Linked DNA regions of Tamandua tetradactyla. The protein of the gene in region 1 purifies or fractionates together with the protein of each later gene. This does not show direct contact. Links are inferred from orthologs where the notes say so. Each region holds a gene or a part of one and is shown in the gene's direction. Other genes may lie near its edges.

What was found.
Region 2: the proteins of SOX2 (region 1) and ILF2 purify together in Homo sapiens (affinity purification with mass spectrometry; 3 studies listed by BioGRID and IntAct, with this or other methods). This does not show direct contact. The link is inferred for Tamandua tetradactyla from reciprocal best matches to the Homo sapiens genes SOX2 and ILF2.
Region 3: the proteins of SOX2 (region 1) and MYEF2 purify together in Homo sapiens (affinity purification with mass spectrometry; 3 studies listed by BioGRID and IntAct, with this or other methods). This does not show direct contact. The link is inferred for Tamandua tetradactyla from reciprocal best matches to the Homo sapiens genes SOX2 and MYEF2.
Region 4: the proteins of SOX2 (region 1) and SUPT16H purify together in Homo sapiens (affinity purification with mass spectrometry; 3 studies listed by BioGRID and IntAct, with this or other methods). This does not show direct contact. The link is inferred for Tamandua tetradactyla from reciprocal best matches to the Homo sapiens genes SOX2 and SUPT16H.

Annotation. Positions count from the first base shown.
Region 1 is NC_135331.1:80,244,932-80,251,320, forward strand, and holds SOX2 (transcription factor SOX-2), read left to right. Parts: upstream 1-3,835; coding exon 3,836-4,789; 3' UTR 4,790-5,875; downstream 5,876-6,389. UniProt on the Homo sapiens protein: Transcription factor that forms a trimeric complex with OCT4 on DNA and controls the expression of a number of genes involved in embryonic development such as YES1, FGF4, UTF1 and ZFP206. Binds to the proximal enhancer region of NANOG.
Region 2 is NC_135330.1:6,483,789-6,491,321, reverse strand, and holds the start of ILF2 (interleukin enhancer-binding factor 2), read left to right. Parts: upstream 1-4,530; 5' UTR 4,531-4,677; coding exon 4,678-4,682; intron 4,683-5,741; coding exon 5,742-5,801; intron 5,802-6,343; coding exon 6,344-6,386; intron 6,387-6,787; coding exon 6,788-6,892; intron 6,893-7,292; coding exon 7,293-7,370; intron 7,371-7,533. UniProt on the Homo sapiens protein: Chromatin-interacting protein that forms a stable heterodimer with interleukin enhancer-binding factor 3/ILF3 and plays a role in several biological processes including transcription, innate immunity or cell growth.
Region 3 is NC_135340.1:62,463,203-62,470,452, reverse strand, and holds the start of MYEF2 (myelin expression factor 2), read left to right. Parts: upstream 1-4,230; 5' UTR 4,231-4,351; coding exon 4,352-4,509; intron 4,510-7,250. UniProt on the Homo sapiens protein: Transcriptional repressor of the myelin basic protein gene (MBP). Binds to the proximal MB1 element 5'-TTGTCC-3' of the MBP promoter. Its binding to MB1 and function are inhibited by PURA.
Region 4 is NC_135340.1:35,076,164-35,083,137, forward strand, and holds the start of SUPT16H (FACT complex subunit SPT16), read left to right. Parts: upstream 1-3,950; 5' UTR 3,951-4,248; exon of another isoform or gene 4,249-4,399; 5' UTR 4,400-4,577; coding exon 4,578-4,643; intron 4,644-6,974. Other genes in the region: CHD8 (chromodomain-helicase-DNA-binding protein 8), read left to right, coding at 2,383-2,949. UniProt on the Homo sapiens protein: Component of the FACT complex, a general chromatin factor that acts to reorganize nucleosomes. The FACT complex is involved in multiple processes that require DNA as a template such as mRNA elongation, DNA replication and DNA repair.

The DNA of each region.
Region 1 (6,389 bases):
TTTGACGAGGGCTTATAGTAGAATAAAATCAAATCAGGATACCCCAGGCACTATTCATTTTATCCCTAATTACTAATCTTGCAGCAAAAGTGTGTAGATTTTTACTGTCCATGGAAGGGAAATGTTACCCTGTCTTTAAGTGCTTTCAATTTTCACAAATTGTGCCCACAGCAACATTTTAAGTTCTCAGAGGATGAAGCACCCTGTGTTATTTTGATACTCTAGTAGTCGATGGTGTATTATCAGTTCTGTAGCTGTCTGTTATGAATCTAACAGTTCTGCTTCTGTTGTCTGTTGTCATTGTCACAGTTACTATCATATTTAGGGGCCAGTAGTGGTGCTGGGTTGAAATAGAGTGGCCAGTGATCTAATTTTTAAAATGCATATGTTCTAAAAATCTAATGAGAAAATTGTTTCTATTATCACCACCTTCTTTAATCTTATTTTCATAGCACATTATTATGCATAAACGCCAGCCACAGTTAGTTTATTGCCTTGATAAGTTCAGCAAGCTTAATTAAAATAAAGCTGTAAATAAGTGCAACCAATGATAACACAATTGTAATGTATTTCCATAGCTTATTTATATGATAAAAGCAATTAACAAAGGACCTAGCCAGCCCCTTTCACCTCTTAAATGCATTATGAGAGAGTTCAGACAGCAGCACATGCATCTGAAATTCTTATAAAAGCTTTTTTTTATATATTATCCCAAGGAAAACTATGTGCTGCTTACTATGGGGTGGGGGGTGGAGGTGATTATTTGAAGATTCTGCAACCATCTGGTATTAATATTTATTTTAAAACATATACACTACCATTATTCACACCAACCCCTTATCTTTTTCTTCAAACTTAATTACCCATAAGCTTTGATTCGTTTTTGGAATAATGCTATTAAGCTCAGACCAAAGCATACACAATCATAAAGTGAATGCTTGTTCTGCCCTTCGTTGCGTCTGGACAATCATAATTCATTCATATGTTGAATCTCATAATTTGTACCTATTTTTTCCCATGGTTTAACCTCCCACTTATCTCGAGGTTATATGTTCATTTCTGCTAAGCAAATTAAATCTGATTCTTATGATTTGGTTCCAAGGCTTATATGATTTGTTAGCGTTTCTTTTGTTTAGATTACATGTAATTAGTTTAATCTTCCTCCCACCCCCCTCATTTTTTCCCTTTAATTATTTCTAAACACTTTCTTTTTAAGGTAAAAGCAATAGTCTTAGCGAAACGATGCACCAGTAGGGGGCGCACCAGCCACGCCTCTGAAACCAGGCGCGGTGTGAAGCCCGGCCGAGCCTTCTCCCAGCTCCTTCCGAGCTGTTCCTTCCCTATTTTCTTTCCTAATAATCGAAGCTAATATCACACTTCGATTAAACAGAAACATTATTTGGAAGCGTATCATATTATTTATGCATTCCGAAAAGCTCGGTCTCACCTTCCTGGGCTCCCAAGACCTAAAACAAGCCACAATTTAAGAGAAAAGTGAGAGCCCACGGGGCGTGGCGTGGGGGGGAGGAGATCGGTGGGAAATCCTTTAGGAAGAGTCTGCAGGATTCTTTTTAGGAACTTTTCTGGATTTCCCGTAGTCACACACAGCCTGAATTGAACAAGCCCAGAAAAGTCAAGGAGGGCAGGGATTGGGGAGCGCTTGTGTGAAGAGGGCTGGCAAGGAGCAAAACAGTGCACGGTTCTGTAAAGCAATATACGGAGCGTGGTCGGTGGATAACAGTACATTTTCTTAGGGCGAGTAAGGGTAGGTCAGAGGAAGAGGGGGCGGAAAGAGAGTTACAGAAGAAAGAGAATAAGTAATCCTGATGGTTTAAGCCTTTTTTAAAAAAAGAAATGGCATCAGGTTTTTCTTTTTCTTTTTCTTCTTCTTCTCTTTCCCCTCCCCCTTTGTAGTCAAGTGCATTTTAGCCACAAAGATCCCAACAAGAGAGTGGAAGGAAACTTAGACGGGGCTTTGTTTGACTCCGTGTAGCGACAACAAGAGAAACAAAACTACCTATTTGTAACGGACGTGCTGCCGTTGCTCGCGGCATTGAGCGCCTACCTATTGAAATCTTTAGGTCGGGACAATGGGAGTGCGGCTAAAATTACCATCTTGGGTCTCGGGCGGGCCGGATTCCTGAGCCCCTACCCCGCCCCCAGCCCGGCCAGCCCCGCCCCGCTGGGCCCCCTCCGCCAAGCCGGCCTCCTCCCCCTCCGTGGGCCTGCACCTGTGCCTGTGCTTAGCGGGCCCGGGGCGCCCGGCTCCCGAGGATGCGGCCACCGCGGTAGATGGCTGCGGGGGACATGCCAGAGCTGTTCCTGCCCGAGCACTAGGAGCTATCTCTGCGCAGGAGGGAGTCTGTGAGTGTGGCCCGAGTGCCACCTCCGTGCTGTGCAGTGGGCGCCAGCAAGTGAAACTTACTCTCCCCATTCCCGCACTTTCGAGCCATCGCTCTGTCTCCTCCTTCCCCCAGCCCCTTTTGAAACTGAAATCCTTTGGGGGCGGCTCGGGAGGAAAATGGGGAGAGGGGACGAGAGTCTGTGCGTCCCCTTCGCAACAACCGCGTGGAGGACTGGAGGGGAGGGGGCCCGCGGCTGGAGCAGAAGGGAAGGCTGGGGATTCCTGGTTCCACGCACTGCGTGGGGCCGTGAAGAAGGTGGAGGCGGCCGCCCGCCAAGGCCCTGCCGGTCCTCAGCTCCAGGGTCGGCCTCAAGGCCCGAGCGGGATTTATTTTTCAGAATAAGAGAAAGCAATGTAGAAGCAAAAAGGGTTTGAGGACAGAGCTTTCAGTCTGGTAACTTCTTGTCGGGACAGTGTGAGGTGGGGCCGAGGGAGTGCGGGCACTCGGCGAAGAAGAAAGGAGAAGGGAAGAGCGTGGTGAGGGAGGGCAGTGCTGGGGAAGGGGGTGGGGGGGGAGCTGGGGGGGAGAGTGCGGCGAACGAGCGGGAGAACAATGACAGAACAACTCTTGCATTGCCTGTTTCCTGAAATACTAGTTGGACAGTTGCCCTGAACCACCCACTCCGCCCTGCCCCACCCCCACCCCTTCGCTGCTTCCCGTGCCCCCTCCTCATTTCAGCACCCCGTACGAAAAAGTAAATCAATATTAAGTTTAAAGAAAAAAGAAGAAGAAAAAAAATCGTGTCTTAGTGCTGTTTACCCACTTCCTTCGAAAAGGCGTGTGGTGTGACCTGTTGCTGCGAGAGGGGATACAAAGGTTTCTCAGTGGTTGGCTGCCGGGCTGTGGGAGCCGCCTCCCCCTCCCCGTCCCTCGCCCTCCCCCCTCCCTCGCCCTCCCCCGCGCGGCCCCGCCCCCTTTCATGCAAAACCCGGCGGCGGGGCCCGGCGCGAGTGGAGGAGCCGCGACGCGCTGATTGGCCGCTGGAAACCCATTTATTCCCTGACAGCCCCCGTCACATGGACGGTTGTCTATTAACTTGTTCAAAAAAGTATCAGGAGTTGTCAAGGCGGAGAAGAGAGTGTTTGCAAAGGGGGGAAAGTAGTTCGCTGCCTCTTTAAGACTAAGACTGGGAGAGAAGCGGAGCGAGAGGAGGGGAGAGCAGTGGGCGCCCCGGCCTGGGCCTCCCCCCGGAGCGGCAGCCGGCGGCGGCGGGAGCAGTCCGAGGCGGGCGGAGCGCGGCTTCCATCCCGGACTGCGGCCGGCCTAGCTGTTGCCCCGGCCGGCCCGGCGCCCGCGCTCCACGCCGAGCCCCGCGCTCCGCCGCCCCCGCCCGCCTCCCCGTCGCCTCCGCCCCCGCCCGCGCGCCCCCCGGAGTCCCGGCCGCGCCGAGGGTCGGCGCCTGGCGGGCCGGGCCCGCGCGCAGCGCCCGCATGTACAACATGATGGAGACGGAGCTGAAGCCGCCCGGCCCGCAGCCGGCCTCGGGGGGCGGCGGCGGCAACGCCACGGCGGCGGCGGCCGGCGGCAACCAGAAGAACAGCCCCGACCGCGTCAAGCGGCCCATGAACGCCTTCATGGTGTGGTCCCGCGGGCAGCGGCGCAAGATGGCTCAGGAGAACCCCAAGATGCACAACTCGGAGATCAGCAAGCGCCTGGGCGCCGAGTGGAAGCTGCTGTCCGAGACGGAGAAGCGACCGTTCATCGACGAGGCCAAGCGACTGCGAGCGCTGCACATGAAGGAGCACCCGGATTACAAGTACCGGCCGCGGCGGAAAACCAAGACGCTTATGAAGAAGGATAAGTACACGCTGCCCGGCGGGCTGCTGGCTCCGGGCGGCAACAGCATGGCCAGCGGGGTCGGGGTGGGCGCCGGCCTGGGCGCGGGCGTGAGCCAGCGCATGGACAGCTACGCGCACATGAACGGCTGGAGCAACGGCAGCTACGGCATGATGCAGGAGCAGCTGGGCTACGCTCAGCACCCGGGCCTCAACGCGCACGGCGCGGCGCAGATGCAGCCCATGCACCGCTACGACGTGAGCGCGCTGCAGTACAACTCCATGACCAGCTCGCAGACCTACATGAACGGCTCGCCCACCTACAGCATGTCCTACTCGCAGCAGGGCACCCCCGGCATGGCGCTCGGCTCCATGGGCTCGGTGGTCAAGTCCGAGGCCAGCTCCAGCCCCCCCGTGGTGACCTCTTCCTCGCACTCCAGGGCGCCCTGCCAGGCCGGGGACCTCCGGGACATGATCAGCATGTACCTCCCTGGCGCCGAGGTGCCCGAGCCCGCTGCCCCCAGCAGACTGCACATGTCCCAGCACTACCAGAGCGGCCCGGTGCCCGGGACGGCTATTAACGGCACACTGCCCCTCTCGCACATGTGAGACGGGCCGGACCGCGGACCGGAGAGGGAGAAGGGAGGGGTGCAAAAGAGGAGAAAAAGAAACGGCCTGGAGAAAAACCCAGTACGCTAAAACAAATAAAGTGAAAAAAGAACATCCCATCGCCCGCAGCAAACGACAACTGCAAAAGAGAACCCCAATCCCATCCACACTCATGCAAAAACAGGATGCCGAGAAGAAAACTTTTATGAGAGATCCTGGACTTCTTTTGGGGGGACTATTTTTGTACAGAGAAAGCCGGAGGGTGGGGAGGTGGGGAGGGGGGAATGGACCTTGTATAGATCTGGAGGAAAGAAAACTACGCAAAACTTTTCAAAAGTTCTAGTAGTACGGTAGGAGCTTTGCAGAAAGTTTGCAAAAGTCTTTACCAATAATATTTAGAGCTAGTCTCCAAGCGACGAAAAAAATGTTTTAATATTTGCGAGCAACTTTTGTACAGTATTTATCAAGATAAACATGGCAATCAAAATGTCCATTGTTTATAAGCTGAGAATTTGCCAATATTTTTCAAGGAGAGTCTTCTTGCTGAATTTTTATTCTGCAGCTGAAATTTAGGACAGTTGCAAACGTGGAAAGAAGAAAATTATTCAGATTTGGACATTTTAATTGTTTAAAAATTGTACAAAAGGAAAACAAATTAGGATAAGTACTGGCAAAAATATCTCCATGGTCTTTTAAAAGGGCAAAAGTTTTAGATGTACTAAATTTTTTTAACTTACTGTTAAAAGCCAAATGGCCATGCAGGTTGACATTGTCGGTAATTTATAATAGCTTTTGTTTCCCAACTTTCCATTTTGTTCAGATAAAGACAATATGAAATTACTGTGTTTGAAATATTTTCTTATGGTTTGTAATATTTCTGTAAATTTATTGTGATATTTTGAGGCTTTCCCCCCTTTATTTTCCGTAGTTGTATTTTAAAGATTCGGCTCTGTATTATTTGAATCAGTTTGCCGATAATCCTTGTATATATTTGAACTAATGCCACCCTGATAACAGGTACATTTTCAACTTAAGTTTTTACTCCATTATGCACAGTTTGAGATAAATAAATTTTTGAAATATGGACACTGAAATTATGCTTTGAGTCTTTTATTTATTTGGATAATGCTGGTTATTAAAGCATAACTCCTTTGGGGATTATAATACTGTGCTCAGCCAAGAAAGCAAAATAGCAAAATCCTTGGTATTTCTCCTCTGCAGCGTGTGCTAGCAAAGTTAGCTGCAACAAATAAGTGGCTGGAAGATTAATTAAATAAGTACTCTTTAAAAATGGAGATACTTATGTCGTTTCTAAAATAGAAACTACAGATATATGTCGTAAGTCCACCCCCTCCTTTTGGAAGCAGCGTGAATAGGCATGATGGGGACTCATGCTTAAACTGTTTTATGCCACTTGTTGCCAGAAAGGAGTCAATTCTGAAAATTTTCAACTTGCTTAGCAGATGGGGTATTGAGCCAAATCAGAACCAGGTCGGCGGGTTTTGTTTTCTTTTTCACAGCACAATAGGCCCTTTTGGAAAGCTGGGTATAGAGGGAAATGATACTTCTTGTATAAGAATAATTGCAAACTAGACATGCA
Region 2 (7,533 bases), on another chromosome or scaffold:
GGGGAATGGTAAGAAAGGGGGAAAATTCAACCTCCCCAAGTGGGGAATTGTTTTTTTTAAAATTTATTTATTAATTAAAAGAAGTAAAGAAACAAAATAAAACAACATGCATAATCAGTAATTCACAATATCATCACTTAGTTGCATATCATCATTTCTTAGAACATTTGCATTAATTCAGAAAAAGAAATAAAAAGACAATAGAAAAAGAAATAAAATAAACACAGGAAAGAAAAAAAAAGATTATACCTACCATACCCCTTACCCCTCGCTTTCATTGATCACTAGCATTTCAAACTAAATTTATTTTAGCATTTGTTCCCCCTATCATTTATTTTTATTCCATATGTTCTACTCCTTTGTTGACAAGGTAGATAAAAGGAGCATCAGACACAAGGTTTTCACAATCACACAGTCACACTGTGAAAGCTACATCATTATACAATCATCTTCAAGAAACAAATGGCTACTGGAACACAGCTCTACATTTTCAGGCAGTTCCCTCCAGCCTCTCCATTACATCTTGAATAACAAGATGATATCTCCTTGATGCATAAGAGTAACCTCCAGGATAACCTCTCGACTCTGTTTGGAATCTCTCAGCCATTGACACTTTGTCTCATTTCCCTCTTCCCCCTTTTGGTCGAGAAGGTTTTCTCAATCCCTTGATGCTAAGTCTCAGCTCATTCTAGGGTTTTTCTCAATCCCTTGATGCTGAGTCTCCGTTCATTCCAAGATCTCTGTCCCACGTTGCCAGGAAGGTCCATACCCTTGGGAGTTATGACCCATGTAGAGAGGGGTAGGGTGGTGAGACTGCTCGTTGTGTTGGCTGGAGAGAGAGGCCACATCTGAACAACAAAACAGGCTCTCTTGGTGAGCTGAGATTTAGCATCAAGGGATTGAGAAAACCTTCTCGACCAAAAGGGGGAAGAGGGAAATGAGACAAAGTGTCAATGGCTGAGAGATTCCAGAGTCCAGAGGTTATCCTGGAGGTTACTCTTATGCATCAAGGAGATATCATCTTGTTATTCAAGATGTAATGGAGAGGCTGGAGGGAACTGCCTGAAAATGTAGAGCTGTGTTCCAGTAGCCATTTGTTTCTTGAAGATGATTGTATAATGATGTAGCTTTCACAGTGTGACTGTGTGATTGTGAAAACCTTGTGTCTGATGCTCTTAGGCCTAAATTTTAAGTAGACTTGACCTATCCTTTGTGGGGTTAAGTTTCATATGAACAAACCCCAAGACTGGGGGCTCAGCCTATAGCTTTGGTTGTCCACACTGCTTGTGAGAATATCAAGAATTCAACTTGGGGAAGCTGAATTTCTCCCCGTTCTCACCACTCCCCGCAGGGGGCTTTGCAGATACTTTTCCACTCACTGATCGAATCACTCTGGGATTCATCGGGGCATCACTCTGGACAAACCAGCAAAATCTCATGTCCTATCTGAGATTCCAAGTACTTATGGCGTTCAATCAAACTATTTACATAAGTTATATTAGGAAATGCACTAGTCAAAATATAAATTTTGTAACAAGTAAACATTTTTTGCTTTAGTCTCAGACAGAAGGTGACATTTAAAAATATTAATTACCATCTATTTTCAGTACCCTACAATAATGACATTCCTTTGTTCTTCCTCATGCAAAAACATTTTTAAAATTGTACATTGTACATTTCACACTCTAGGCATTCCTAGATTATACCATCTCAATCTTTAACATCTATCTTTCTTTCTGATTTCATTTATGTTCCCAGCCCTCCTCCCTCTATCATTCTCACATGCAGCTTCATTCAGTGTTTTAATATAATTATATTACAGTTAGGTAGTATTGTGCTGTCCATTTCTGAGTTTTTGTATCCAGTCCTGTTGCACAGTCTGTGTCACAAGTGGGAAATTCTTGATATTCTCACAAGCAGCGGGGACAACCAAAGCAATAGGCTGAGCCCCCAATCTTGGGATTTGTTTATATGAAAGTTTATTTACTTAACCCTGTAAAGGATAAGCTAAGCCACTTAAAATTGAGCCTAAGAATCACCCCCAAGAGAACCTCTTTTGTTGCTCAGATGTGGCCTCTCTCTCTCAGCCAACACAACAAGCAAACTCACCGCCCTCCCCCTCTCTACGTGGGACATGACTCCCAGGGGTGTGGACCTTCCTGGCAACGTGGCACAGAAATCCTAGAATGAGCTGGGACTCGGCACCAAGGGATTGAGAAAACCTACTCGACCGAAAGGGGGAGAAGAGAAATGAGACAAAATAAAGTGTCAATGGCTGAGAGATACCAGAGTCGAGAGGTTATCCTGGAGGTTATTCTTATGCATTAAGTAGATATCACCTTTTTAATTAAGGTGTAACAGAGAGGCTGGAGGGAACTGCCTGAAAATGTAAATGTAGAGCTGTGTTCCAGTAACCATGTTTCTTAAAGATGGTTGTATAATGATATAGCTTTCACAATGTGACTGTGTGATTGTGAAAACCTTGTGTCTGATACTTCTTTTATCTACCTTATGGACAGATGAGTAAAATGTATGGATTAAGAATAAATAAATAATAGGGGGAACAAATGTTAAAATAAATTTAGTAGATTGAAATGCTAGTGATCAGTGAAAGGGAGGGGTAAGGGGTATGGTATGTATGAATTTCTTTTCTGTTTTCTTTTTATTTCTTTTTCTGAATTGATGCAAATGTTCTAAGAAATGATCATGATGATGAATATACAACTATGTGATGAGGAAAAAAGAATGTTCATATTGTATGTTGATTGGTTTTATTAATAAAACTTTTAAAAAAAGGAATAACCTCCAGGATAACCTCTCAACTCTGTCTGAAATATCTCAGCCACTGACACTTTTTCTCGTTTCTCTCTTCCCCCTTTTGGTCAAAAAGGTTTTCTGAATACCTTGATGCCAGGTCCCGGCTTATCCTGGGATTTCTGTCCCACATTGCCAGGAAGATTCACACCCCTGGGAGTCATGACCCACGTAGAAGAGGAGGGCAGTGGGGTCCCTTGCCATGTCGCTTAGAGAGAGGCATATCTGATCAACAAAGAGGTTCTCTTAGGCCTAATTTTAAGTAGGCTGGCCTATCCTTTACAGGAATAAGTTTCACAGGGGTGAACCCCAAGATTGGGGCTTGGCCTATTGATTTAGTTGTCCCCACTGCTTGTGAGAATATCAGAAATTCTCCAAATTGGAAAGTTGAATCTTTTCCCCTTCTTTCCCACTCCCTAAGGGGACTTCACAAATACTTCTTTATTCACTGTCCAAATCACTCTGGGATTTATCGGGACATCACACTAACCTGGACTACCCAACAAGATCTCATGCCCTATTCAAGATTCTCTTATGGGATCTTATGGTACTTATGGTATCAACTAAACTGACCATAAAAGGTAAATCAGGAAATGCACTACCCAAAATGTAAATTTTATACCAAATAAACTCTCCCTTTAGCCGGAGGACCTCTTTTGTTGCTCAGATGTGGTCTCTCTCTTTCTAAGCCCAGGAACAGACAAACCTAATATATGAAAACAGAAATAGGAATAGTGATTCCCTCTAAGGACAGGGCAAAGGGGTATGAGGTAACTTTCTAGGGTGATGAAAATGTTCTTTATCTTAATCTGGGTAGTGGTTACATAGATTTAAAACATTACTCAACATTAACTAGCTATACTGCTAAGATCTGTGCATTTTAATGTAGGTAAATTATACATCAATAAAGTATGTAAAACATTACACAACACAGTACTTAATTCTGAGGGGAATGAAGGTGGTAAATGGAATTAAGTTATTCTTGTATTTTTTCAGGAGGACTTTCTGAAGTCAGAGATGCGTGTTGTAATTTTTAGGGTAGACACTAAAAGGGTAGAAAAAAGAAAAGAGTGCATAACTTCCCATTAACAGAGGGGGGAAAATAATAAACATTATATCTCCCATGACAAAGAAGGCAAGAAGGGGGAAAATTAACAGGAGGGATAACAGCCAGCACATAGTAAAATGATTGATTTAAATGCAAATCAATACAATGTCTCCCTTTCTGCCTCAAGTTGCTGAACTACACAGAAGTGTGATGTATTAATCGCTTCCTAAGGACCCTTCCTCAGTACACTTCATTCGCCAGTGCCAGAAAAATCTTTGAAAGGCTGCATTTATAAGGGAAGAAAAAACTGAAAAGATGGCGTTCACATCTATTAAAAAAATTGAAATCATACGTATCACCTTTCTCTATAAGGAGGGAAATAAAAGAACCAGATAGCAGAGGATGGTTTCGATCCATCGACCTCTGGGTTATGGGCCCAGCACGCTTCCGCTGCGCCACTCTGCTACCTGGTGTTCAGGGCTTGTAAAGGTCATATAGAAAGTATTTACAATTGGTGGCGTTCGAGGTGTTCAGTTCCTCCAAAGAGCGCTACCTAGTTCTTGAAGAAGGAACTGCCGCCATTGCTGTCGAGCCTGTTCTTACTGGCTGGTTCCCGACACAGCAGGCGTCTTTTATTGGTTCTTTGCTTATGTCTATTGGTTTATAGAACCAATAGACAAAAGCGGCGGGATAAGGCGGGAGCCAATAGCGCCGGGTTTTGTTGGGAGACACCGGCAAGCTGCTTCTCCAGTTGTCCGCTCCTCAGAGGAGAGGGGCGGTTGGCGCGGCCTCCATTGTTCGGGATTTAGGGCGCCATGAGGTAAGGGGACCGGGGCGCTGTATGAGGATTTTGGATATTCGACTGAAAATGTTGGGAAGGTGGGCCGAAAGGAGTCGGAGGAGGATTGGGGATTGGCCTAAAACCTGAGAACTCCCGGCCTGGTAGCGGAGGAGGGGTCGGAGGCCGGCTGGGGCGGGGGAACGCGGGCCTGGGACGGGGGTGGGGCCCGGGCGCGGGAGGCGGGTTCGAGGCCGCTGTCTCTGGATAGGGGGTGTCCGCGGATCCCTGCCGGACCCTCCCCGCTTCTGGGCTGAGACGGCTGGATCGTGCCCCATTCATCCTCACTGCCAGTTGCTTCACGTGTAGGCTATGATCACTACATTTTTAAATGCCTTAGTAGATAAATGAGCACTCACTTTAATCTCGGAAATGTTAGGATTGGCACATCTCCCAGGTATTACGGTAGGGGCTCTAGGTGTTAAGTATCTGGGTCCCGTTATTAATTGAGGTTATGATTAAATTATCCATAATGAGGAGAAGTGTGATCGAAATACTGTCACTAGGCTCCCGAAGGTTCAGAGCGATGAAGGGAGGCTAATTCGAAATGATGTGGTGGGTATAGTGGAGTTGCTACAGTGAGGTAAAAAGAAAAAAACCTCCCAACTTTCTATATCAAGAAATTGATTTAAATGATACTACATTAATTTAATGGACTACTACACGACTATCAAAAAGAATGAGATCACTCTGGAATGAGATCACTCTGTACACAGAAAGGAGTACATGCTGTATTAACTGAAAAAAAGCAATTCAGATAAGTACATAGTATGACTTGCTCTGAATCTTGAAAAGGAATATATATGTTTGCATATTTTGTGTGTTTGTATGTGAAAACACCATGAAAAACACCAGAAAGAATACAGCCCACACGTTTATGGGGAACGAAACATTTATGGGGAATAAAAGGGGAAATTTTACTTAGTTTTACATTTATTTAATATAAATAAATGGTGATGTCTGGCTATTTTCAAATGACTTTGTAATCTCTTTTTAAAAAAACTTTTAAGAGTTTTAAAAAAACCTTTCATACATTTCTAGGGGTGACAGAGGCCGTGGTCGTGGTGGGCGTTTTGGTTCCAGAGGAGGCCCAGGAGGAGGGTGAGTGCCAGTTTTTAGCACCTCTGCACTGGTTGGTTTCTCTTAATCATTTAAGTAGGAATTTGGAGTGGACTAATGTTATGTTAGGTGTAGCTGTGATTTAACATCTCTTCTGGTGCTGTCCTGCTAAATGTTGATTTTGCTAAGAAGGATCATCCCCCAGGGGACTGACCCTGATTCTCAAGACACAAATGTTTTCAAAACTCCAATTTGTAGAGTATATGGAACCTGTTAATTAGGTGTCATTGGTTGGGTGAAAGGTTCGATGCAGTATTAGCAATTGTAAGGTAGAACTTTCAACTTTGAGCAGTCGTTTTATTTCTCAGTTAAAAGTTTTATCTGTTCAGGAACCTGAATATCTGAATGCTAAAAAGATTTCTCTCTCTTGATGTTAGTCTCCAAGAGATGCTAGAAAACCAAAGTTTTGGAAGAGAGAACATAAAAACATTGTTTAATTCTGTTTCTAGGTTAAGGCTGTTTGTGCCAAACATCTCATTTGATTTCTATGTGGTGCATAATTTGGACTGTTTTCCTTGTTTTAGGTTTAGGCCCTTTGTGCCACATATTCCATTTGATTTCTATTTGGTGAGTATCTGGGGTTAGTATGACTTTCCTGGCCACTGTTTACCTTAACATAGAAATGGAGTTTAGCATTTCCCAGTTATTGAAGTTAAGTGGTAGTTGGAATAGGAACAAGGACTTGTTAATAAAGTTGGGGCTTTGAGTTAGCTGTGTTGCGTTGCATACAAAGACAGTGTAAGCAGGGTGAAGAGATAATTTCTTGGCTACTGTTGACAGTAATATGATTGAACTTTTTATTTCAAATAAGAATATCTGATTCATCTGTTAATGTGAAAGTCGTGACCTTAAATTATGGCTGTTCTATTGTATATATTATTGTAGCAACAGTACAAAGTACTTATTCCTGTATATTATTTTGAGTAAATATTATGTTTGTAGTATTAAATAGTTTAATTCTTGTTCAGTGTGAAATGGCCTTCCCCCGGGTCAAGCCAGCACCTGATGAAACCTCTTTCAGTGAGGCCTTGCTGAAGAGGAATCAAGACCTTGCTCCCAATTCTGCTGAACAGGTATGCTATTTTGGTTTCCTTCCTGAGATTTCTGTAGTGGTCAGAAAAGTGAATAATCTCAGATGAGGTTAAGAGTAAATAGTGTTTTCAGAGACTAAGCTCAGAAAGCTTATTCTTATTCTTATTTCTTATTATTCTTACTTCTTCTTGTGGGTAGAGACCGAGAGCCAGCTGAGTATATTAACAGATTATTAGGCATTCAGGTTTTTATTGGAGGATCTCATCTATGTGATAAAAAATGTTCTTTTCTGGCATATTCAAGGCCAGAAGGGTCAAAATGTTTTTAAAGCCTGTGTTGGTATTAAGCTTGTATGGAAAGGATTATGAGAAAATATTCAAATTCTGAGAAATTGCTTGTAATTTTTCACCTTAGGGAGTTTTGTCTCATGCTGTTTTTCAGGCGTCTATCCTTTCTCTGGTGACAAAAATAAACAATGTGATTGACAATTTGATTGTGGCTCCAGGGACATTTGAAGTGGTAAGTTTTTGTTGATTTAGTTCTACAAAGGGGCAGTCTCATTTGTGGAAATTTCCTTGGCTTCCTCTTAATTGTTCAATTCCCTGTTATCCAGATCCAAGCCTAAAATGGGAACATGGAATTCCTTTGTAGTACCAGTCTTGTGAATGGTACTGTTCACAAG
Region 3 (7,250 bases), on another chromosome or scaffold:
TGTGACAATCTAGTTTTTTTCATCATAGAATGAATGTCTTAGAATAAATAGGGAAAACATATGTGGATTTCAAATATAACCATAGTTTTGGTAAAAGTTTTAAATTCTTTTTTTGGAATCTAAATCTAAGTTTGGAACTTAGTGGCTCCAAATCCAGTCATTTAATTTAAATAAAGTCAAGCGTACTGTTTTAAAAACTATATTATACTTTTTGTTTTACATTATGTTATGGTCTTTGACTTTTAATTCTTAAAGATGAAGTAAAAGATTATCATATCCTACATGTCACTCAACATCCATTTCCTTCTTTTGTAACAGAACCCTGGATAGTGTGCCCAGCTGAAAAGCTATTTGCAACCTCCCCTAAAGCTGGGTATGTCATGTAACTAAATTCTGGCCCACAAGTGGAAGTGCTGTAGGAGAGATCTAAACAGGATCATTCTTTTCTTACTCCTGCAATGTAGCCAAGATCACTAGTTCTCCAGCAGTCACCTTGGTCCATGGGGTGACCTTAAGAATGGAAGCCTTGAAACAGAGGAGTTAGGATTTAATGAATGATTATGAATACTGAATCATTATATATTCTTTTTTCTTTCTGGTATATTAGAGTAGATGGAGAGGAAATACCTGAAATCTCTGAACTATGATCCACTGCCCCGATCTCTGATAATGATTGTAGAAGTCCTTACTTGTGCCTTTGTGATTGTGAAAGCTGGTACTTCCTTTACCCAGTTTTCTCCTTAAGAAATCTGTAAAGGCAAATGCCCTAATACTAATGGAGGAATTTGAACCAGCTCAAAACCCACCATTAACTGGTTCTAGTTTCACTCCATTATATTTGTAAATTGTTTCTGCCTATAGCTGTTATTGAGATGATAACTTTCTTTCTCCCTTTTTGCTAATACCTGCCATTGAAATTGTAATGACTTCATCTCCCCATCTTAGAGTCCATAAAAACTTTGAATACCCAGACTCCAGGAGACAGATTTTGGGCCCATAGGCCATCTGCTCTCCTGCTTCACTCCTAGCAATAAATTATTTCTCTCTTTGAAACTCTGAAGTTTCAGGATTTGGTCATTTGCACACATCAGGCAGCAAATCCACCACCTTTGTCCAGGAACAGCCTTGCTTTAGGAAGGTAAAAGACTAAGATAGAAGGAACCTGTGGAAATGCTTCATGAGCTCTGGGCTGCTTTCATCTGGACTTCTTAGAGAGAAGTATAACTTCTATTTTGTTTAAGATGCTATTATTTCCAGTCTCTGTTACTAGCAGCGGAATATAATTCCTATTTGATCTACCCATTGAATTATTAATTGAAAATATTTGGACTTTTAGCATTAAATTTCTAGATATGAGCTCTTTCTCTGTGCCTCTCTGTCTCTGTCTCTCACACATAAACCACTCCAATCTGTAAGAAAGAAAACTAAGGGTATGTGAAGGTGTGGCAGTAACACATTTTCTGCGGTTGCAAGGGCTAATGCTTTTATAGTGGGAACTGTGGTAAGATAAAAACTACAGCATTACTCAAGAATTTTTAAGCAGGTACATGTGGAATAAAAAAATACAGTAAAGCAGAGGAAGGGAAGGTAATATAGAAATGAAATGTAATAGAATGTTAATAGCTCATTTTTTCTTTATTTTTTGCAAAGTTAGTTAAGGTAAGTGTAATAATGATAGCAAGAGAGGAAGGAAAGATCATAGTACAGGACAATGGAGATAGAACGATAAGGATGAATCTTTTTTTCTCTTCAGAAAATTCTAACCTTTTAAGATCCAGCTCTTCTATGATGCCCTCACCTATCCCTAATAGGGATTAACCTTTGTCCTTTTTATGCATCTAACAGGCTATGACTGGGATATAGCCAGTGAGGTGTTTGGCTCAAGTACCAAATATAAAGAGGCACCAACAAACTCAGTCATCAAGATAAATATTTTAATGAAAGATTTTACAAAATCAAATTGGCACACTGGGACAGGTGGGCTAGTCTCTAGTTTTAATTATATCTGACATTTTATCTCTAGTACAGTATTCAAATAGTACTTTGTATACAATTTCTTTCCCAATAGGCCTGTACTCATTTTTGTATCCCCTGTGCTCCTACTTGCCTGTTTTAAGCAAGGGTATTAGTCAGGGTTCTCCAGGGAAACAAATGACAAGTTTCATGCATGTAAATATTATGAGATTTCTTATAGGGCTTGGCTCCTGTGACCATGGGGATTGACCAGTACATCAATTCCATAGCGTAGACCACAAGTGGGATCTCCAAAGAAACGGTCTCAATGAATTCCCTAGGAGAAGGTGCTGACTGAAGTAGAAACAGATTTCTGAAATCATCACTTCTCCCTTTTAGGCCTTCAAGTGATTGGATGAGACTTCTCTCATTCTGATATAATCTTTATTGATTATAGATCTAACCAGTCATAGATGCAATCAGCAGACAAATGATTTAAATCCATGAAATACTCTCGTAGTAACAATCAGACTAGTGCTTGCTTGAGTAAACAATTGAACACCATAATCTAGCCAGGCTAACTCAGGAACTTAACCATCATGGCCTCTTAATAAACATTCAGTTGAATCTCTTGAAGGGCTTTGCAAGAATATACTGTTCTAGGGGCTGTGGGGTTAAGTGTTTCATCATTAAATTCAACCTTAACAAACGAATAACAGACAGCGAGGAATGTTTTGAAAGTACTTATAATCCAGTATTACGGGAAAATCATCTGGCTTCTCTTCGACTAAAACCTTTGCCACCTTGGAGAGCTAGGGAATTCTAAACCTTTGCATTCGTATACTACTTTGCCCTATATAATGTTCTTTCATTTAATCCTCACCTTAATTCAGCAAGGTACATTTTATTATCCTTATTTATTGTGGAGGGATTGAGAAGTTAAATGATTTGCCCAAGAAATTATGGGCAGCAAGTGTCAGAGCTGGGAGTCTAGTCCAGGTTTTCTGTCTCAAATTCTAATGCCCTTTCTGACACTCCAAATGCTATGTCTCAAGGTTGATTAATTAAGGAGAAACAATTAATGCAGCGACCACAATAGTATTTGTAGTATCTACAAAACAGAATATAGGCAAAACCTTAATAGCAGTATTTTAGCAAATGTACTCTTCATGATTAAAACAGTTCTGATTTTTATAAGTCTGATGAAATAGCTTACTTCAGGAACAGGACTAGATGGTTTATGGTATTTTGTGATAGACAGCAGAAGACTACACAATGAAATGCCAAAGAACATGGGAAATTGAGGAAATCATTTATTTACTATTCGAGTGTTAGTTTCTAATTACAACTTTACCACTAATGTGTGTATAATATTCTGCAAGGCACATAAATTATTGGCTTGCTTCTTCAAGAAACATTTAAAAGGTCATTGAACTCTTGAGCTGAAAAAGATTATTTCAATGTGAAATATTATTATAGTTCTAAAGAGTTAGAAGTTGATTAAGTTTAATGGGTTTCTTTTTCATACTTAGGGGGAAAAATCTATGATTATACTTTAAAACTTCACACAGTAATTAAACTTGAGAACCTATAACTGTTTCAAATATAATTTCCATCAGCATATAATAAACACATAAAACCCAAAATGCCCATTATTAGTCAATCTAGTAGAAGATTTCTTATGAAAATTATAGATTCCACCCATTGATTGCTGCCCAGAGTATTAAAAAAATTTCATTCTTTTTATAGACCGTTAGCTGAATTCTAAGAAAAGCCTCATTCTCACGAACAAGGTGATCTCAAAGAAATACAAAGCCATTTACTCTGCTGAATTGCAATAGTCATCAGTAACTCTTCAATATCCACAGGGTGCCTAGACATTTGAATCAGAAGTGGTGATTTATTTGAATCATATAAAGGATTTTTAAGGGAAGTCTGAAGAGGTACAGATGTCTTAAAGACAAAGTGGAATGTGCTTCTCTTACTTAATGTGCTTCTCTTACTGGGTTTCAGAGCTTCAGAGGTTTCCAACCCCCAAAACACACTTTGAAACTGAAGACCCCACTGGGGGCCAAGCGACCGGCAGGCTGGTGGTCGGAACATGATCCCAAAAGAGGTCTCAGGACAGGTCAAGCCTTCCCTGGGCCGGGTCAGGGCCGAACGCAGCAACTGCGGCACACACCTTCCAGCCCCCACCGTTCCCCTCCCCCATTCACTCCCACCCTCCACACAGGCTCACACCATATCCCCGTCGCCCAGCCCCGACAGGTTCTCGCGAGATCCGGGCAGCTGAGCGCTCGGGGCCTGTTCAAATCGGGATCCGTTACCGCTTCTCCGGCTGCCGCCATTGTCGCCCTCGGAGCCCCTCAGCAAAGGCGGTGGAGGTAGCGGCGGCGGGATGGCGGACGCCGAGAAGCTCGAGGTTCTTGGGGCCGCTGGCGACGACAGCCCGCTTCAGCAGCCAGCGGAGCCTCCTGGCGAGCCGCGGCGAGGACCGCACCCGCCGGAGCCGGAGAAGCAGCAACACCACAGCAGCAGTTCCAATGGCGTTAAAATGTATTGTCTTTTCCTTCCGGGGACTGGGGCGAGTGTAGGGCGGGGAGTCGGCCTGGAAGGCCGGGCTGGGCCTCGGTGGGACCCTACGCCCTCCTCAGGCCCTGGACCGCTCTCGGCCGTCGGCGGCGGGAGGAGCAGGTGCAGCAGCGCCGCTCCCAGGCCCTTCCCTGGCGACCCGGGCACCGCCGCCTGCGAGCTGGGGAGGGGAGGGGGGGTTGGGGGGCCGGCGCACTCCCTCCCACCCCACCCTCGATTAATAACCCCATTTCCCAGACTTCGTTTGATGAACCTTTGAGCAAAGCTCGGCGGCCGCCGCGGTTTGCGGGAAAATAGTCCCCTTTTTAAAGGGCAATAGTTAGTGTTCATCACTAGGGAGTATCTAGGGATGACATCATCGGACATTTCCTCTTATCCACTGACAACGTATTTAGAAGGAATATACCCCTCCCCCATCTTCCCAGCCTCATTCTGAGCTTTATGAGTTCAGTGTTTTGTGTTTTCTTTCTAAAGTATATATTCGTTTTTGTGATTTATAGTCACTGAAAGAAGTTTAATAATGCACCAATAGAATGGACCCGTCATTGTTATCTTTGAATTGGCTAGAGGTATTTTTGAAAAGAAAATCTATGTTGTGCATTGCTTTTTCTTCCTTTTTTTTTTTTCTCTCCTAATGTTTGTCAGCGGTGCAGGCTGTTGTAAAAACTCTTTGTGTGTCTCGTCTGCCATGCTGAAAAATCGAACCCGGGTTCGATTCCCGGTGCCTCCTCACGCAAAAAAACAAAAAACAAAAAACAAAACCCCTCATTGTGTGACGTTAGATTCTTAATTTTGGTGTAGTGGTAAAATAAAACCACTACTTTTAAGGTGGCAACTCCGTTATTGGCTATAAAGAATTTAGATGACTCGAATCCATGGTAATTTCTAGTTGTAAGCATTCGTTATGAAAATTGTTTCTCTTTGTTCTTATCGTGTGGGAGACACGAAGCCAAGCATTTATTTTCATATTCCCAGCCCTTTTAACCTGTAGTTGAAAGTTACATTAATAATTTAGTGAAGTCATCCTTTTCCTTCTCTTTATCCCTCAGAATAGAAAGCAGTAAACGAAATGTCTTTCTGACGTTTCTCTCGTATAAAAATGTTTGAAACTTTATCTTAAGACCTGGACAAATTGTTGTAAGGGAAGTTGATTGCAAATGAGATGGGGTAGCTCTCCCGAGCCGGGTGATGACACTCTTGTTCTCAAGTGGGTTAGAGTGGGATAGTATCTTCTAGGCAGAATATTGTTGTGGGTATAAGTGATTGGATCTCTGGAATTTGTTTGTAGATGGAAACACCTTAGAAAACGAGGAACCAGAAATGAGTGAAGCACTTTTCCACAATGTCTGTCAAAATGTGGGCTTTCAGAAATTTGATATAAGTAGGAATAAAAAATAATGGAATAATCTTAAAATATCTTTTAGTTTATATCTAAACATGAATATGCCATTCCTTTTCTTCTGATAACATTAACAGAAGTTACAGTCTTGAATTACAGAAGCCCCACTGTATTTGGATATGGGCAGCATAATAGTGTCAGTACAGGTGAAACTAGTTACCTAAACCTCCAGCAAATCTGAACATCTCCTAATCAATTTTGATGTCCTATTGTGGTTTAACCAGACAGGAAAAATAGATAGGAAAAGAATCTTTGCCACATCTAATTGAGGAAGAAAATGTAAGGTGAAGAAATTAAATGCTGTAAACAAGCACGTACTTTTAATATTACTTTAGTTCATCCCTCTCCTTTTCTTAAAAGTTGAATAAAGAGGCCAATTTACTATCAGGAGTTTCTTGTACTGTCCCAAAGGAACATATGCTGAGTCCTCAATGGGTCACCCAAACTAGGTAACTAGGGACATTACATGTATCTTAAACACTCTTTAGACTCTATCAACCAGTAGGGTTAGTTAACCCAACACATAAATCTTAAGTTGATTATCATGTTTTTAATAAGAATTTATATATAATGATAAAAGTGACCAATTATTGCCTTAAAATATATGTAATTTAGAAGTGAACAGAATGCCGCTTGTCATCAGTACTGAAATGACTTTGAGGTTATTCCTTTGTCGGACAGAGATCACCATATCTTATCTTTGTATCCCTAAGACCTAACATTTAAAAAAGGGACAATAAAATTTTTTGAAGAAATAAAGTGGGGACCTTTTATGATCATGAAATTTGTTCAGGGGATATAGTTGGCACCTTGACATCTTTGGATGAGAAATTCAAGATCTTTTTCCTGAGGTCTAGTTTTTTTCTTTACACCAAAGCAGTATAATAGCTCCCCTTTTCTTTAAAATGAGTAGGAGGAAAACCAGTAATATTGTTACTGTTCATATATGATTAAGTAACATCTTGGAGTATATGAAGATTAAGAGTTATATTAGGGCACTAATATAAACTATTAAAATAGTATTGGCTCAAGGTGAAGTGTTTGCCAGTAGAGTAGTAATTTTATCACATTAGGAAAACAGAAATGGGATTGAGCTTAATTTTGGAAATGGCCTTATACAATATAGCATTATACTTTAAAACTATGCTTCTTCATTTGATGTTGGATTTTGATTTTTTCAGAAATTTGTTATAATTTGAGAAGACATAATTCAGTCTTAAGAGTAGATAACATTTTGTGACTATTCTAGAGTTTATTTTTGTATGTTTAGAGGGAATGTACTTGAATGAGTATTTAGCAAATTATT
Region 4 (6,974 bases), on another chromosome or scaffold:
CCATTCTAACTTTTACATGTTGGAAGGGGTTATTGATAATATGGGGTAGGGGGATGGAACTAGTTGATGTTCTGGAAAGGTTGGCCCCTCTGCATTTCAGGACTTGACTGGTCCATCTGGAGGTTGCAGGTTTTGGAAAGTTACCCTAGTGCATGGAACCTTTATAGAATCTTTTATAATGCCCTAGATATTCCTTAGGATTGACAAGAATGGTTTTGGTTGGATTTGGCAAATTATGATAAATAGCAATGTCTAACTGAAGCATGCCTAAGAGTGACCACCAGTGGAGCCTCTCAACTCTATTTGAACTCTCTCAGACGGTGATACTTTGTTAGTTACACTTCTTTTCCCCCTTTTGGTCAGGATAGTATTGTTGATCCCATGGTGCCAGGGCCAGGTTCGTCCCTGGGAGTCATCTCCCATGCCACCAGGGAGACTGTCATCCCTGGATGTCATGTCCCACCTAATGGGGATGGCAATGATTTCACTTGCAGAGTTGGACTTAAGAGAGAGAGAGGCCACATCTGAGCAACAAAAGAGGTCCTCTGGAGGTAATTCTTAAGTAGTCCTATAGGTAGGCTAAGCTTCTCTGCTACATATATAAGCTTCACAACAGCAAGCCTCAAGATCAAGGGCTTGGCCTATTGATTTAATTGTCTCTAATGTTTGGCACAGTCCCCCTTTATTTATTTATTTAGTTTTTTTTGTTTTGGCATGGGCAAGCTCTGGGAATTGAACCCAGGTCTCCAGCATGGCAGGCGAGAATTCTGCCACTGAACCACCCCCTTTATTTTTAAATGCACTATCCTTTTATCTTGATTGTAGCTATTTGGTGGATCCATTGTTTCTTTTTCTTTCTCCAGAAGTATAATTACAGAAGTTTATTTTTCACATCTTGCCTTACTTTGTGTTATAGTTGTATTTCTGGTTTGAGTAAACAGTCATTTAAAATGGATTAGCACTTCTGTATATTAATTTTGCATTTGATGTTTTATGTAAATTTTATATATGCATATTTTTAACTGTATGGTATATCTTTTATCAAAATCAAGTTCCAAATAAACAATATATATCTTTTATATTTTAAAAATTCCAAGAACATTCTTTTGCATATAATATACTTATTTGTGAGATATATTTATGAGGCTCATTTTTCATTTTTATATTGGTGAAAGTGCATTTCATATAAATAATATTACCAAGGAAGAACTTTTAAATTTTCTCTCTCAGCCACCAAGGGAACAAAAGAGTAATAAGCAGAAGGGTTGATACAGAAGGCTGATGACTAGAAGGCTGGGGCCATATCTGTCTTTTATTTAACTAACATTGTAGAAAGCTTATAAAAAAGGTTTTTTCTCCAATTTACCTCATTTTATCTCAACACTTTTGCCTTTTCCCTTCTACTCAGTTGATAATTTTAAGAAATAAAAGATCACAGGAAATCATAATATGACTAATATAGAATTCCTAATGCAAAATTGATAGTGAATCTAGCACTGCATTATTACTGGCATCTGCAGAAGTTTAGATGCTCTTATGGTCAGGAAAAAAAAAAGTCCACACAAATAGGAGTATTGAGATATTTGTTTTTCCAAGTCAAAAAGGTATATTCGCATATTAGGTGTATGGCTTAAATTGAGAAATTCCAGAGACACAGTTACCAATTGCCTTGAGTTTAATGCCAGTGTACTGAGTATTTTGCAAAGAAGAGGCTTCAATGAACCTAACCACAGTTTGCCATTAGAACCTCTAGAAAAAGCAGTTTAAAATTCAGAAAATATATAAGTTTTTATCAATGGGAAAACACATTTTCTATTAGATTTGGTTAGGAGCTACTCACAACCTTTTTGGTATTCTTAACATTAAGAAGTCTGATTTGTCTTGAATTTATTCTGCTCTGATGTGATAATGGAGGTTAATATTGTAAATGTCAATACAGTTGTGCTACAATTCACATGATATGAAGATGTGAACATGCCATCATTATACACTTGAGTGAATTACTTTCTCTGCATATACTTATCCATTCACCATCTTACCCAGTCCCCTTATCAACAAATATGTGAGATACGGGTGGAATAAAGTTACAATGTAATCAAGGCAAAAAGTAAAAATTCTTTGGTTTATACAAATATCAATATGAAATCCTTGATATTAGCTTTGGCAGCAAAACATTCATCTGAATCCAGCATTTCCTTTTCCCCATTACCACCATCAAGCCTGGTCTGACTATACTTGTTTTGCCCCACCTAAAGAAAGATTCAGTGAAAAATCATTTGCATGTTAGAACTCTTTTGACTTTCACTGTGGCATCATCCCCTCCCTTCCCTGCCTCCTCCTCCCCCCTTTTTTTAACTCTTTTCCTCTGTTCTCTCCTCGCAGGGTCACCACACCGAAACTGTGTTCAACCGGGTTTTACCAGGGCCCATCACACCAGAGACCAGCAAAAAACGGGCCCGTAGGATGCGACCAGACCTTTCTAAGATGATGGCCCTGATGCAGGGTGGAAGCACTGGGTCCCTGTCTTTGCATAACAGCTTCCAACACAGCAGTAGTAGCCTGCAGTCTGTTTCATCTCTGGGTCACAGCAGTGCCACTTCTGCGCCTTTGCCTTTTATGCCGTTTGTGATGGGCGGTGCCGCATCATCCCCTCATGTAGACTCCAGCACCATGCTTCATCACCACCACCACCACCACCACCCTCACCCCCACCATCACCACCATCACCATCCAGGCCTGAGAGCTACCGGCTACCCTTCATCACCAGCGACTACCACCTCTGGCACTGCTTTGCGGTTGCCACCGCTGCAACCTGAGGACGACGATGATGAGGATGAGGAAGATGATGATTTATCTCAGGGCTATGATAGCTCAGAAAGGGACTTCTCACTCATTGATGATCCTATGATGCCAGCCAATTCAGACTCCAGCGAAGAAGCTGATGAGTGAAGCCACAGCATGTCCCCATTGCGTGGGTGGCTGCTATACTTTCATTTACTCTGGCCCTTGGACTCTGGAAAAGTGGGCGGGACAGGGGAGATGTGGGGAAACCCAGGACTCCAGGAGGTGGAAAGGGGGGAAAGAAAGAAAAAGCTTGTACCTGATTACTCCCAAATTTGAGAGGATTGGGTGGGCAGGGGAACTCCTAAAATAATACATGACCACTTCCTCATTTCTGGGGAAGAAACGGAGACTAGAGCTGCTGGTGCACTCACCCCTCCCTAGACACCTCTGTTAACCACAGACTATGTAGCACTGGCTCTAGCCTCTGGCAGAGCCTGTTCCTGACCGAACTGTGGATACAGCTGGAGGGTCAGGAACTGTTACCTTTCCTCCCCTTGGCATTAATAAATTTAAGTTAATCCTTTTCCACTCTTCCCTTGTTCTATATTTGCTCAAACCCAATATAAAAAGACGTTCGTGGTCCGTGATTTCAACGCCACTTTCCCAAAGTTCCAATACTGTTTCCAATACATTAACTCAGGTCAGATCAGTCATCTGTATTTCTTTAATGGGTATATACGAATATCGTACATATAGCTTGCTAAAAGCAGAGGATGGTTGAAAGTAAATTGTAGCCGAAAATATTGTTCCAGATTCAAACTCAGTTCTAAGAGGAGACAAGAATGAATTTCAAGACCTACGTACCCTTCGTTCCGAATTAACTGAAATAATGGTGCCTTGGAGGAAGACACTGGTATCACTTTTCATAACTTTGTAGCAAAGGACTGCCTGATTGAGAAAACTTGGGGTTGGGGGAGGGAGAGGGAGTAGTGGGATGAGGGAGTAATGCAAGGGAACAGATAAAAATTTGAGACGCCCTTCAAGCTGTTTCCCACGGCCTCCTATTGCCATCCGAGCGCTCAAATGAAGCCCGGGCACTTAATTTTCCTCCCCTCCACAGTTTAGGTTGTAGATTATCAGAAGGGCGGGCTTGTCTTCCTAGATTGAGCTGTGTACCCGAGCGGGGCCCGACCCAGCCTCCTTGCACCGAGGATCTTTCCAGTCCTGCGGTAGCAGCGGCTTTAACTTAACCACCATTTCCAAGAGAGGAACGTACCCACTTAACGCTGCAGTCTTCCCCCTCCATCCCACGCCAGAATCCGCTCTTCACCCCTCCTTTGCAGATGGGGTGTGGCCATTACGCCCGCGCGCGGCAGCTTGTGTGGGGCGGCGTAAGCACGTCTCTTCCAGCAGTCGCCGCCGAGGTGAAATTCGGAGCTCCTGGAAACCGCCGCCAGACTGAGAGTAAGGGCGGGGACAAAGCGTCCGTGATGACGTAACTCGTGTGGGACTGAGTTGAGAAGAAATCCCCGCGAAAATGTAGACTTTTTGTTTGCGTTGCACATTTTATTGATTTCCCCACTTCTTTTTTTTACTTCCTCCTCCCAACCTCTAGAAGAAGAACTTAAAACAATAAAACCCCTAACTCTGTGGGGACCCGGAAGCGGAAAAGGACCTCTGAGCTCGTTACTTCCGGGTCACTGGGGGAGTGCGGGATTCCGGGGCCGACAGCGGGTGGCGGAGCCGGGACCTCGCGTGATTCTCGGATCCGAGGAGGAGCGGTGTGTGGGGCTATGGCTGTGACTCTGGACAAAGACGCGTATTATCGGCGAGTGAAGAGATTGTACAGCAACTGGCGGGTGAGGAAGATTCCATAATTTTCCCTAGGAAGCCCCCCTCCGCCATCCCATAATAACCCTGTTTTTCGGCGCCCTTTTTTTCCCCTTTGCGTCGGGAATTCCCGGGTTCATTGTCGCAACCCTTTCGTTGCTCTCGAATCATTCATCGCAGGCGGCCACAAGTGCCCCATAACAGGGACTCCTCTCTGATTGCCCTGCCCTGCGGCCACCACCATCTTCCCCGCGTGCCGGCGCAGGTCGTGCTAACAGCTACTTCTTGCAATACCTTCCCGCCCTAAGAGGCATCATCCTTCTTTCCCCCTAAGTGATCAAGTCCTGCTACCCGCTCCTGCAGCGTTCACACACCCATGCACTCTGGCTGTCCTCCCAGAACCACGGTATTCCTCCCCAGGTCCCGCCAGAATTACAACCATCTTCGTAAAGGAGGGATGGAGGGGCCAGGAAGATGTGAATCAGGCTCGTCACGTTTATCGTTTGCCGGGCTTGTACTGAAGATTTAAAAAGGAATGCTGCTTACACGCGCCACCACCTCGGGTTCTAGGTCCTGCCATGGGTAACAATCTTAACGCTGAAAACTGTAGGAATTAATAATACAAAAAAAGATATGATGCCTAAAACCTCGTTGGTTTGCCTTCTAGTTAGAATATTTCGGGCACGTGTTAAGAGAAATCTGTTACTGTTCTCAGTCTTGAAGATTGGACCATTTTGCTGCTTTAAAAATGTCTACAGTTAAAATTAATTTTGTTACAGTAATTGATCTGTTTGAGAAGCGTTAACTGCATTCGTAGTTTGAGCTGTCTAGATTAAGTCTGGCCTCTTGTGACCTCTGTCATCTAGGAAAGAAATAACAAAAGACTTTTTTTACAATACCGAAAAAGGTCCTGACAAATATCGGTTCTGATTTCAGCATTGTAAAATTACTTTTCAGATTTATCCTATACTGGAAACCAAACTATTAAAATTTTAGCATTTTCTTGCCACTCATTAAAGGTGCCTGTGTATATTTCATGTTTTTAGGCTAAATGCATTAAATAATTGCAAGTCAAATGGATTCTCTGTTGCATTTTGCGAAAAGTAAAAAGAACTCAATGCTACTCAAATGATGAGCATAAATGTTGTTTTTAAAATTTTTTTATTGGTAAATTTCTACCAAAGGTTTCCACAAGCCTTGCTCACTGTCACATACTTATGTTTGAACATTATCTGTGTTTGAAACTCTTTTTAAAAGTCCTGATATTTTCTGAAGATTAATGAATACTAGTGTGCAGGTAATATTCAGGAGCCCTCTCTTCTACCCATGGACCCTGAAATTGTACACCTTTTATGTGGAAGTTGTTTTGTTTCTGTCCTAGTGATTCAGAGTTTACTTTATCAAATTATTCTTCATCCTCTCTAAACTATTCATGAAACTCAGATTAAATTAATTTAGAGCTCAAAGTTCCCTTACATGATAAGTAAATGCAGAGAATGGAATTAGCCGGTGTAGGAAAAAGTGAAGCCTGAAAACATATGGGTAGACCTACTATCAAATGGCATCTGTAAATCCATAAAAGTCAAGTTACTGGCTCTATTATCCCCATTTTTTGTTTTTGTCAAAAATCATGAAGCTTCATCTTAGCCCTCTTATTTAACAGTTGGGAAGGATGTTGGATGTTGACATAGACACTAATACCCTAAATTTAGGAGCCAAGTTTATGTAAATCTACCAGTTACCAAAAATTGTGGCCAATTATTATCAAAATCTTTGAATAGACCTGCTTTTTTAAAACTGTAAACTTGAGCAAATGTCACAGAATCTCCTGTAGTATTTCTGTTTATACAGTCTTTCTAAGAAAATAGTACTTTTATTTTGATCTGCTTCAATAATCATAATTTTCTGGAGCTAAATTCTGGTTGTTTATCCTCAATGCTATCGCAGAAAGTAGTGGAAAATGCAGTTGCACTCTATACTCCCCCATCCCCTATTCCTTTTCGTTTTTAATTGTACACATCCTTGTGCTGTCAGCTCACATCTTCAGAGAAATCTGTTATGACTAAAAAGTTAACTGGTTTGTGTTCCCCACCCAGTTTTTTAATTTTAGGTACCCTTGAGCATAAATCTTTCAGCACTGTGCCTTGTTCCTGGTAGCTTCAACTCTTTAACTGTTGTGGAGAACTAATAAGTTATTAATCCTCTTTTTAAAGACTAGGAGTAGACGCTAATGTGGCTCCTTTCCCATTTATTTTCAAGTTGAGTGTGTCTTAGGTACAAATTGTGAGACTAATTATCACATGCATTATATTATTTCTTTTGTATATATGTAAATTTCAATTTTCATAACTTTATGTCCT